Linked DNA regions of Arabidopsis thaliana. The protein of the gene in region 1 interacts with the protein of each later gene in a pairwise test. Each region holds a gene or a part of one and is shown on either strand. Other genes may lie near its edges. The genes, in order: ROPGEF1 and FER.

Region 1 (5,228 bases):
AATTCAGTCCATGTTCAACAACCTGCCGATGAACTAGATTGGTCTATCAAACAAGCCCGGTCCATTAGGACCAATCTAACCGCGTCTGGGCCAAGGCCTAACCCTCAGGGTTCGTACCACTATGGTCGAATCAAGATTTCTAGGACTTTGATATTGGAAAGCTCAGCGGCACTAGTGAAGAGGAAGCAACGCTACGCCATAAACGGAGTGTCGTTTGTACCTGGAGATACTCCGCTAAAGCTTGCGGATTACTTCAAGATCAAAGGCGTTTTCAAAATGGGAAGCATACCTGACAAGCCGAGAAGAGGAAGAGGGATGAGAATGGAGACGTCAGTGATGGGAGCACACCATAGAGACTTCCTTGAAATCATATTTCAAAACCGCGAGAAGATCGTCCAAAGCTACCACCTCGATGGATATAGTTTTTGGGTTGTTGGGTGAGAATAATTAAAGATTAGCTATATCTATCGTCCTCTATATATAGTAGCTAGTAATAATGCATTGCATGCATCTGATGTTTGTGAGTACTGTCCACAGGACGGATAGAGGAACATGGTCAAAAGCAAGCAGACGAGAGTATAATCTTAGGGATGCTATTTCTCGCTCCACCACTCAGGTACAAATAGTTTCTAACTCCATATATCTTACCAAAAATTTTAAAAAATCATCTCAAAACTAGTATTTGGTTGTTGTAGGTATATCCAGAATCTTGGACAGCCGTATATGTGGCACTGGACAATGTGGGGATGTGGAATCTAAGGAGTGAATATTGGGCGAGGCAATACTTGGGTCAACAATTCTACCTTCGAGTTTATTCTCCAACACACTCTCTTAGAGATGAATATCTTTTGCCTAAGAATGCTTTGTTGTGTGGCCGAGCCTCCAATAAACACACCACTCCTTAATGACTCTACTCAGACCAATCGTCAATGGCTGATTTAGGGATATGTATTTTATTATATTGAGTTCTTTATTCTTTATAATTTCAATAGCTAGATATATGTTGCACAATTATTATATATACTTCAAAAATTGTAATGTATACCCAAATTTGATGAAAATTTTACTGTTTTGTAACGGTTATTGCTAAGTTTGAAGTTAATTTTTGTAGGCAAATGCAATGTTTTCATATGAATCAACCAAGTAACTCTACCATATCACCAAGCAAAATAGTATAGTTTGAAGAGAGAGAGTAAATTAAAAAAAAAAAAAAACCATACATAACATATTAGAAACATTAATTTCGAATAAACAGACTTTAACGATGAAATAAAAATTTAAATTATTATCCACCGGTAGATGTAGAATGTTTATTGGTATAGAAAGTTGTTCTATTTGGTCAAAGTTTTTGTTGACCTTGCAATTACAAATTACAAGGCTGTCAATCGAATGAAAAACATGGCAATGGAAAAGATTTGCTAATAATGCCAAGACAAACAAACGTTTATTTGGAAGGTTAAAAGCCTTTTAGAGAAGAAAAAAAAAGAGCAGAGAGTCAACTAATTAAGCCATGCATGTGAATCAACACCAATCCATAGCATATTCTAGTGATCAGTGACATTAATATTGTAGATTACTATATTAACCCGAATTCAAAGGGCATTAAATAGGTACTTTAATGAATTGAATTAAGAAGAGTAATATAATCAACGGCTTAGATTCGTTGCGTGAAAAAACCATAACCGAAAACAGCGGAATCCACGAAATAAGTAAGCCAAACGCAATCTAGACCGTACGATGTGAATACTTTAATGACGCCAGAATACTATGGACAGTGTAGATCAGGCGAATGGGCGTAATACACGTGGCGTAAAATCACGAGGATAGATATGGTGCAACGTAGTTCAGGCCGGTGTGGTACGAGAGAGTCTGATGATCCGACAAGGAATACTTCTAGTCCACACAATGTCAGCCTTTCTTTATTTTCTCGGTCGCTTCGAGATTCTCAATTCTGCTCTGTAGAAAAGATCCTGATGGTTCACTTTTAATATCCAACGGTTGATATAACACAAGCGCATGCTCCTCTTATGAGAACGGCCGTGGGATATAATTTAATCTCGCCGTTAAAAAATGTGACGACCGTGAGTTAACGGTTTATCTGTTACCAACCTCATACCTGTCCCTAACGGCAGAGGATAACGCCGTGAGTATGGATGGATGGGAGAGAAAAGAAGAGAGAGAGTGTGAGTGAGGAAATGAAAGGAGTCTTTTTTATTTGTTATCTCTCATCTCTCTCTCTCTTTCTCTCTGAGCTTTGCTTTTTATCAAACAAGCATCATCATCACATCCACTTCCTTCTTCTTCCTTTCTCTGTCTGTCTCTTAACCCAAATGTGGACTCTTTGAGCCGTTATTAGATCTCTGCCGCTTCAATAATGGGGAGCTTATCTTCTGAGGAAGACGACGAAGTCTCTTCCGAGAGATGCGGAAGTTACAGTCCCAGCGCCGACATTAGCGAGTCCGAGAGTTCCAGCAGCTTCTCCTGCCACCGCTTCGACGGCGAGGGTGCCTCTAGCTCCATCCCTTCTTCCCCTCGAGTTGTCGCTGGTAGAGGATTTTACTTCCCGGCCCCAGTCATGCTTCCGGTGATCGGCGGCAAAGATGTGGTCTGGGATGACAAACAACCAGACAACGATTTATCCGGTATAAAAGTTTCCAAATTTGACCTCTTTTGTAAACATTGATGAACACTAGGATTCAATTTCCCTTTTGTTTCCTATTGGGTTTCAGAAATTGAGATGATGAAGGAGAGATTTGCTAAGCTACTTCTCGGGGAAGACATGTCTGGTGGAGGTAAAGGGGTTTGTACGGCGCTTGCTATCTCCAACGCCATCACCAATCTCTCTGGTACCATCTCAATCTTCTTCCCTTTTTGTTAGTTGGTATATATAGTAGGGGTTTCTAGTTTTTTAATAAGGCTAGTGTCCACACAGCGACTGTGTTTGGCGAACTATGGAGGCTTGAGCCTCTTGCTCCTCAGAAGAAGGCCATGTGGCGCAGAGAACTTGAGTGGCTGCTCTGTGTTAGCGATTCTATCGTTGAGCTCATTCCTTCCATTCAGCAGTTCCCTGGAGGCGGAACTTATGAGATCATGGAGACCCGTCCACGTTCTGATCTCTATGCCAATCTCCCTGCTCTCAAGAAGCTCGATGCTATGTTGATCGATATGCTTGACGCTTTCTCCGATACTGAGTTCTGGTACACTGATCGCGGCATAGTTCTTGGTGATTGTGACAAGGATTCTTACAATTCTCCAGCTTCCGTTAGGCAGGAGGACAAGTGGTGGCTGCCTTGCCCTAAGGTTCCGCCTAACGGTTTGTCAGAAGAGGCCAGGAAGAAACTGCAGCAGTGTCGGGACTTTGCTAACCAGATTCTCAAGGCTGCATTGGCAATTAACAGTGGCGTGCTTGCCGAAATGGAGATTCCCGACCCTTACTTGGAGACTTTGCCCAAGGTATGCGCCTTCTCGAGCTCAAGGATTAGCTTTTTCATTGCTGCTGGAGCATAAATTCTTTTACCGTTATATGTGATTAGCTCATTGAGTTATGATTTTAAACTTAATGCAGAGCGGGAAGGAATGTCTTGGAGAGATCATCTACCAGTACTTAACTGCAAACAAGTTCTCTCCCGAATGCCTCCTGGACTGTCTTGATCTCTCATCGGAACATCAGACTCTTGAAATCGCCAACCGGATTGAGGCGGCTGTGCATGTTTGGAGACAAAAGAATGGGAGGAGGCACAAGAAGCAGGCGAAACTAAAGCTGTCTTCTTGGGGTGGCAAGGTTAAAGGCCTTGTTAATGACAACGAAAGAAATGATTTCCTTGTGCAGAGAGCCGAGACCCTCTTGCAGAGTCTCAGGATCCGTTTCCCGGGACTTCCCCAGACAACGCTGGACATGAACAAGATTCAGTACAACAAGGTACATTATAGTTTGGAGTGTGCTTTGCTGGTTGCATCATGAAACGATGCTTAGATAATTTAAGAGTTTGTGTGTGTTCTTGCAGGATGTAGGGCAATCAATTCTGGAGAGTTACTCTAGGGTGATGGAGAGCATGGCCTTCAACATCACGGCCAGAATAGATGATGTGCTTTATGTTGATGATGCCATGAGAAGATCCATCTCTGTCACAGAATCGCTATCCCTATTCAGCATCAATGGACTCAACCCTCAAAAAGCGTTCTCTGTGCAGAGCTCTCCGCACGGTTCACCATTTGCAACGCCTGCCCTAAGTGTAGCATCAAGAAGCCCGAGGAGAGCACCGCCGCTGTATTCAGTGAAGAGGAATGGGACGAGAGAGAAGGGAATAGTGGGAGAAACAGAGAAAGCATGGTCGTATGCAGGGAATCTGAGTTCAAGAAGAGTAACGGGAGTGACGCCGGAAAGAGATTAAGATTGAAAATAGAAGAATGTAAATCAATGGTTGTAGAGACTGTAGTTGTTTCTTGTTTGTCTGACTACGAAGACGAATGTGGTAATAGCAACAAGAATGTTATCTTATGTGGAGTTTTGAAATGTTGTTAACAAATCAATTCCTTAGCTCATTTACCAAGTTTACAAAGATTATGGTCCAAGTCCTAAAACTGAATGAACATCACATACCCGTCTCTTGAGTGATTTAATCATGTTCTTCATTGCACTAAAGCGACAACTTTTGGTTCAAATATAGACTATGACTATATGGTTTGTTTTGCACAGGATTAAAGTTGATGTTCCAATTTTATAATTAAAAAGTCAGAAAGGGGTTTTCTTGTTATTTTTTACTTGTTCTTATAAGCTATCGGGACGACACGGAGTTTTAAAGAGTTTTCCGTTTTGCTGAGCGGAGGCGAGAGAGGGTTTAGAGTGATGGAGCAAAGTAGCGGGAGAGTCAATCCGGAACAGCCGAACAACGTCTTGGCGAGCCTTGTCGGGAGCATCGTGGAGAAAGGAATATCGGAGAATAAGCCTCCAAGCAAGCCGCTTCCCCCAAGGCCCTCCCTTCTTTCCTTCCCCGTCGCTCGTCATCGTTCTCACGGACCCGTAAGCCAATCCAATCCTCTAGTGCGTGCTTTTTAGGTTTCCATCTTCCTTTTGTTGCCTTCTTCTAGATTTTAAGCACCTTCTACTGTTGTTTAGTACTTGGGACTCCACAATTTTTCACCGTGCCTGACCTTGTAATTCAGCTTTCTGAGACATCTAATTTTTGTTTCTCATGTTTGATTTTGTAGCATTTGGCTCCTGTGGGAAG
Region 2 (5,874 bases), on another chromosome or scaffold:
AGTAGTGCTGTTGGATCTTGGTCGGAATGGTTTCAGCAAAATCCCTGAAAGCATAAAGCAGTTATCTAAACTACATAGCCTTAGATTAAGACATTGTAGAAACCTCATATTGCTTCCGGCGCTTCCCCAAAGCCTGAAACTGTTGAACGTGCATGGTTGTGTGTCTCTAGAGTCAGTTTCTTGGGGATTTGAGCAGTTTCCTAGTCATTACACCTTCAGCGATTGCTTCAATAAGTCTCCAAAAGTGGCTAGAAAACGAGTTGTAAAAGGCCTGGCTAAAGTAGCAAGCATTGGCAACGAACATCAGCAGGTAACTCTCTCGTTCTCATGTCCCTTCTTTCTCACTCATACATACTTTAGCGTATATGTAATTTTCCTTTTTCTTGTTGGGACCAGGAACTCATCAAAGCACTTGCATTCAGCATTTGCGGGCCTGCAGGAGCAGATCAGGCAACCTCTTATAATTTGCGGGCAGGTTCATTTGCAACGATAGAGATAACTCCTTCCCTGCGAAAGACACTCTTGGGGTTTGCTATCTTCGTTGTAGTATCGTTTTCGGATGATAGTCACAACAACGCTGGGCTTGGCGTTAGGTGCGTAAGCAGATGGAAGACAAAGAAAAGGGTGGTCACTGGTAAAGCAGAGAAAGTGTTTAGGTGTTGGGCTCCGAGAGAAGCTCCTGAGGTTCAAAGGGATCACATGTTTGTGTTTTATGAGGATGCCGAAATGCATCGAGGTGGTGGTGAGGGAAACAAACCAAATATAATGGCTGATCACGTTGAATTTGAATTCCAAGCAGTAAATGGAAGAAACAAGGTCTTAGGCGGTAATTGCATGGTGACAGAATGTGATGTTTGTGTTATAACAGCTGCAACTGGTGCGGCGAGTCTGAGTGTAACAAATGCAAGTAAGGATATGAGTTTAAGTAAGAATCATTCTCCGAAGCTTTCAAGTGTGATTGGTAAGCTTCGATTTAAGCGAGTTGGTAGGTTTGGTGGTTGTGTTTGCCTAGAGTGAAGAAAAGTTAAGAGTGGGAACTGGGAAGAGTGTATGTATGTGACTCGTCTCATGCGTGCCCAAATGCGAAGTAGCAGAAACATGTATGTTTGAAATGTAATTTTTATTATTTAAAATTGGCATAAACAAAAAAAAATGTGTTGTCTGAAAGAGAATTAATGATATGTTAATGTAAATATTTAGTGCATGTTTGATGTAATGGTTTAAAGTTTTATTTTATTTTGAAAGACTGAGAAAACAAGGATCACAAACTCTGTTTTGAATCAAGAAGGTGTAGACCAAAAAAATTGCACACGTTCGGCCTTAACCACGGTTTATTTGTATTCAAGGTTACTTGGATTTGACATCGGAGATCAAGGTTACTCCTTACCTTAGACATGATCGATCAAAAGGAGGCTACGCCGATTGTCATAAACATATATCATGTGCACGTTAGATAAGGCCCACTTATAACTGGGCCATAGGAGATAAACTGAAATCAGAGTAAAAAGCCCATGATTACGTAAACTATCCTAACTAACTAACGAGTTATTATCAAAGCAGGCCCCATTCTTTCCCTTTATAGTATAATATAGAGTACCAGCTCAGCCACGAGCAGTCACCACCGCACACAAAAATACGCGTTTCATAAAATTCTCTTGTCTTTTCTTTAGTTTAATGGATTTACTCTCTCACATTTTATGAACTGTCATCCAAACCATACCAATCAACATTATCCTTCGAATGGTCAAGACATATATAATTCCAGCTGTTGATACTCAAAGGTCATTATCGTCACTTCACCCACCTTCAAGCCGGCTTCAATTAATTAAACCCGATAACTATATCTTAATTTAATCTTATTGAAATTAAAATAACGTTAACGCGTAGAGGGAAGCAACAATGCTTGTCCGTTTTGTCGTCGTCTTGACTATACTTACCTCTCCACTCATTAATTGATTTTCTCTCTCTCTCCCCCAAAATATCTCTGTCTTCTCCAAAAACTCTCTCCGATTTCATCGCTTAGGGTTTCTTCCCCGATTCTTCAGGTATGTAATCATCATCATCATCTTCCTCACTTCACTCTCCCTTACTACTGTATTCAAACTTCAATTTCATCTGTTTCTTAAGCTCAATTTTCGTAACCAAACGAACATGTACCTCTAGCACTTTCCATTTTTAGATCTGTGAAGTTTATAGTTTCGATTTTCTTTCGTTTGATAGATCTGAGAAGAAGATCTTCCCGGAGAAGTGCTCTTGATCGATGAAGATCACAGAGGGACGATTCCGTCTCTCTCTTCTTCTTCTTCTTCTTCTCATATCTGCAGCAACTTTAATCTCAGCTGCTGATTACTCTCCAACAGAGAAAATCCTATTGAATTGCGGTGGTGGTGCTTCTAATCTAACCGACACAGATAACCGTATATGGATCTCCGATGTCAAATCAAAATTCTTATCATCTTCCTCTGAAGACTCTAAAACATCACCAGCGTTAACACAAGATCCTTCCGTTCCCGAAGTTCCTTACATGACGGCGAGAGTTTTCCGATCTCCTTTCACTTACACTTTCCCTGTAGCATCAGGTCGTAAATTCGTGCGTCTCTACTTCTACCCAAACTCGTACGACGGTCTCAACGCTACCAACTCGTTATTCTCCGTCTCCTTTGGTCCTTACACTCTTCTCAAGAATTTCAGTGCTTCTCAGACGGCGGAGGCGTTGACTTACGCTTTCATCATCAAGGAGTTTGTTGTCAACGTTGAAGGTGGAACGTTGAACATGACGTTTACACCGGAATCAGCTCCGTCTAATGCGTATGCGTTTGTTAATGGGATTGAGGTTACTTCAATGCCTGATATGTATAGTAGTACTGATGGGACTTTGACTATGGTTGGATCATCTGGCTCTGTTACTATTGATAACAGTACTGCTCTTGAGAATGTGTATAGGCTCAATGTTGGAGGGAATGATATCTCGCCTTCCGCGGATACGGGTTTGTATAGGTCGTGGTATGATGATCAGCCTTATATATTTGGTGCAGGACTTGGTATTCCAGAGACTGCTGATCCCAACATGACGATTAAGTATCCTACGGGGACTCCTACTTATGTTGCTCCTGTGGATGTTTATTCAACCGCGAGGTCTATGGGTCCAACAGCTCAGATCAATCTCAACTACAATCTTACTTGGATTTTCAGCATTGACTCTGGTTTCACTTACCTTGTTAGACTTCATTTCTGTGAGGTTTCTTCGAATATCACTAAGATCAACCAACGGGTGTTTACAATCTACCTCAACAATCAAACTGCTGAGCCTGAAGCTGATGTGATTGCTTGGACTAGTTCAAACGGGGTTCCGTTTCACAAGGATTACGTGGTGAATCCTCCAGAGGGAAATGGACAGCAAGATTTGTGGCTTGCTCTTCATCCTAACCCAGTTAACAAGCCGGAGTATTATGATTCTCTTCTTAATGGAGTGGAGATATTCAAGATGAATACTTCTGATGGTAATCTGGCTGGTACCAATCCTATACCTGGTCCACAGGTGACTGCTGATCCATCTAAAGTCCTACGCCCGACTACTAGGAAATCGAAAAGCAATACGGCTATTATTGCAGGCGCAGCCAGTGGTGCAGTTGTTCTGGCCCTTATCATTGGGTTTTGTGTGTTTGGTGCTTACCGCAGACGTAAGCGTGGTGATTACCAGCCTGCTAGTGATGCAACATCAGGGTGGCTTCCACTATCTCTGTATGGAAACTCACATTCTGCTGGCTCGGCGAAGACAAACACAACAGGAAGTTATGCCTCGTCCCTTCCGTCAAATCTTTGCCGTCACTTCTCGTTTGCTGAGATCAAAGCTGCCACTAAAAACTTTGATGAGTCCCGGGTGCTTGGTGTTGGTGGTTTCGGCAAGGTTTACAGAGGAGAGATTGATGGCGGAACTACAAAGGTAGCCATCAAGAGAGGCAACCCAATGTCCGAGCAAGGTGTACATGAGTTCCAGACTGAGATTGAAATGCTTTCAAAGCTTAGACATCGTCATCTTGTGTCCTTGATTGGATACTGTGAAGAGAACTGCGAAATGATCTTAGTCTATGATTACATGGCTCATGGTACAATGAGGGAGCATCTCTACAAAACCCAGAATCCTTCTCTTCCATGGAAGCAACGTCTTGAGATATGCATTGGAGCAGCCCGAGGTTTACACTATCTACACACTGGTGCAAAACACACAATCATCCATAGAGATGTGAAGACAACAAACATTCTATTGGATGAGAAATGGGTGGCCAAGGTCTCTGATTTTGGTCTATCGAAGACTGGTCCTACACTAGACCACACACACGTAAGCACAGTTGTGAAAGGAAGTTTCGGTTATCTTGACCCAGAGTATTTCAGACGGCAGCAACTGACTGAGAAATCCGATGTCTACTCCTTTGGCGTTGTTCTATTCGAAGCTCTATGCGCTCGTCCAGCCTTGAACCCAACACTTGCAAAGGAACAAGTGAGCTTAGCTGAGTGGGCACCATACTGCTACAAGAAAGGCATGCTAGATCAAATCGTTGATCCCTACCTCAAGGGCAAGATCACACCAGAATGCTTCAAAAAGTTTGCTGAAACCGCGATGAAGTGTGTTCTAGACCAGGGCATTGAGAGACCATCAATGGGAGATGTTCTGTGGAACTTAGAATTTGCGTTGCAGCTCCAGGAAAGCGCAGAAGAGAACGGAAAAGGAGTATGCGGTGACATGGACATGGATGAGATTAAGTACGATGATGGAAACTGTAAAGGAAAGAACGACAAGAGTTCTGATGTGTATGAAGGGAATGTGACGGACTCGAGGAGCAGTGGAATAGATATGAGCATCGGTGGTAGGAGTTTGGCCAGCGAAGATTCAGATGGACTCACTCCAAGTGCTGTGTTTTCTCAGATCATGAATCCAAAGGGACGTTAGAGAAGTCTTATAACACGGTACAACACTACTACCTTTCTAAACCGGCTCCATCCAAAGGAGACCGGTTCGTTTCTCTTTTTTATATTTTTTTTCCTCTTAACTATTTATTATTATTCTCTTTGCTGTTATTTATTTAGAATTTTGGATTTGTGTATTTGATGCCACGATGGAGAGTGTAAAAAATAATGTATTTTTTTTTCTTCTTTCTACAAAAACATTAAACATGAATCGCGTCAATGTACTATTTGGTTTGTTATCTATAACGTTTTTGGTAATTGTTGCATCTTTACTCTATTACACGTCGTACTCTTATGAACAAACTAGTACCCATTTATTACAAAGTCGTACTCTTATGAACATAAACGGAAGTACATCAATCACTTCTCTGTTTTACTATATAGACGCATTTTAACGGAATCCTACCAATAGTGTCTTTTCTTGCAAATATTTTGATTTAAACAAGAAGGGTCAAAGTTGTATATTTCTGCTGATCAATACAAACAAACACTTTGAAAGAAAAAAACAACGAGTAGAAGAACTATGTGTAATGTTTTTCTCTTGATTGCATAAGAATTTAAAAAGAGTGAAACAGGATTATTTTTCCAAGCAGCTCTCTTGTTTTTAACTACAACAAACAGGAAAGAAAACTCAAAAGGAGTCAGAGTCTCAGAGAGGAGAGAATAGATCAGGAGGAGAGTCAAAAGCATTGTCGAAGATGAGAGATTGAGGAGATTCATCATCAATGTTAAGTAGCCAGTTTGTATCCTTGACATCTTTAACATTCAAGAGTGCGTCGTAACGAGCACTATCGTTCTTGTTCTCTGTGTTGTTCCCTTCTTTCGTTAAGCTTCTTCCATCTTCCTCTTCATGGTTGCTGCTGCTGCAGCTGCCTTCACTACTACCACACGGTTTTCTTAGACCCGAAG

What was found.
Region 2: the proteins of ROPGEF1 (region 1) and FER interact in binary tests that used the Arabidopsis thaliana proteins (3 or more experiments, as listed by UniProt).

Annotation. Positions count from the first base shown.
Region 1 is NC_003075.7:17,984,269-17,989,496, forward strand, and holds ROPGEF1 (rho guanyl-nucleotide exchange factor 1), read left to right. Parts: upstream 1-2,115; 5' UTR 2,116-2,374; coding exon 2,375-2,642; intron 2,643-2,729; coding exon 2,730-2,846; intron 2,847-2,932; coding exon 2,933-3,453; intron 3,454-3,565; coding exon 3,566-3,919; intron 3,920-4,004; coding exon 4,005-4,391; 3' UTR 4,392-4,601; downstream 4,602-5,228. Other genes in the region: sks9 (SKU5 similar 9), read left to right, coding at 1-437, 538-616, 696-905; IYO (RPAP1-like, carboxy-terminal protein), read left to right, coding at 4,847-5,020, 5,209-5,228. UniProt on the Arabidopsis thaliana protein: Guanine-nucleotide exchange factor (GEF) that acts as an activator of Rop (Rho of plants) GTPases by promoting the exchange of GDP for GTP. Acts downstream of PRK2 in the control of polarized pollen tube growth by activating ARAC11/ROP1.
Region 2 is NC_003074.8:19,116,951-19,122,824, reverse strand, and holds FER (Malectin/receptor-like protein kinase family protein), read left to right. Parts: upstream 1-1,875; 5' UTR 1,876-2,045; intron 2,046-2,220; 5' UTR 2,221-2,260; coding exon 2,261-4,948; 3' UTR 4,949-5,241; downstream 5,242-5,874. Other genes in the region: AT3G51560 (Disease resistance protein (TIR-NBS-LRR class) family), read left to right, coding at 1-310, 397-1,017; AT3G51540 (mucin-5AC-like protein), read right to left, coding at 5,615-5,874. UniProt on the Arabidopsis thaliana protein: Receptor-like protein kinase that mediates the female control of male gamete delivery during fertilization, including growth cessation of compatible pollen tubes ensuring a reproductive isolation barriers, by regulating MLO7 subcellular polarization upon pollen tube perception in the female gametophyte synergids.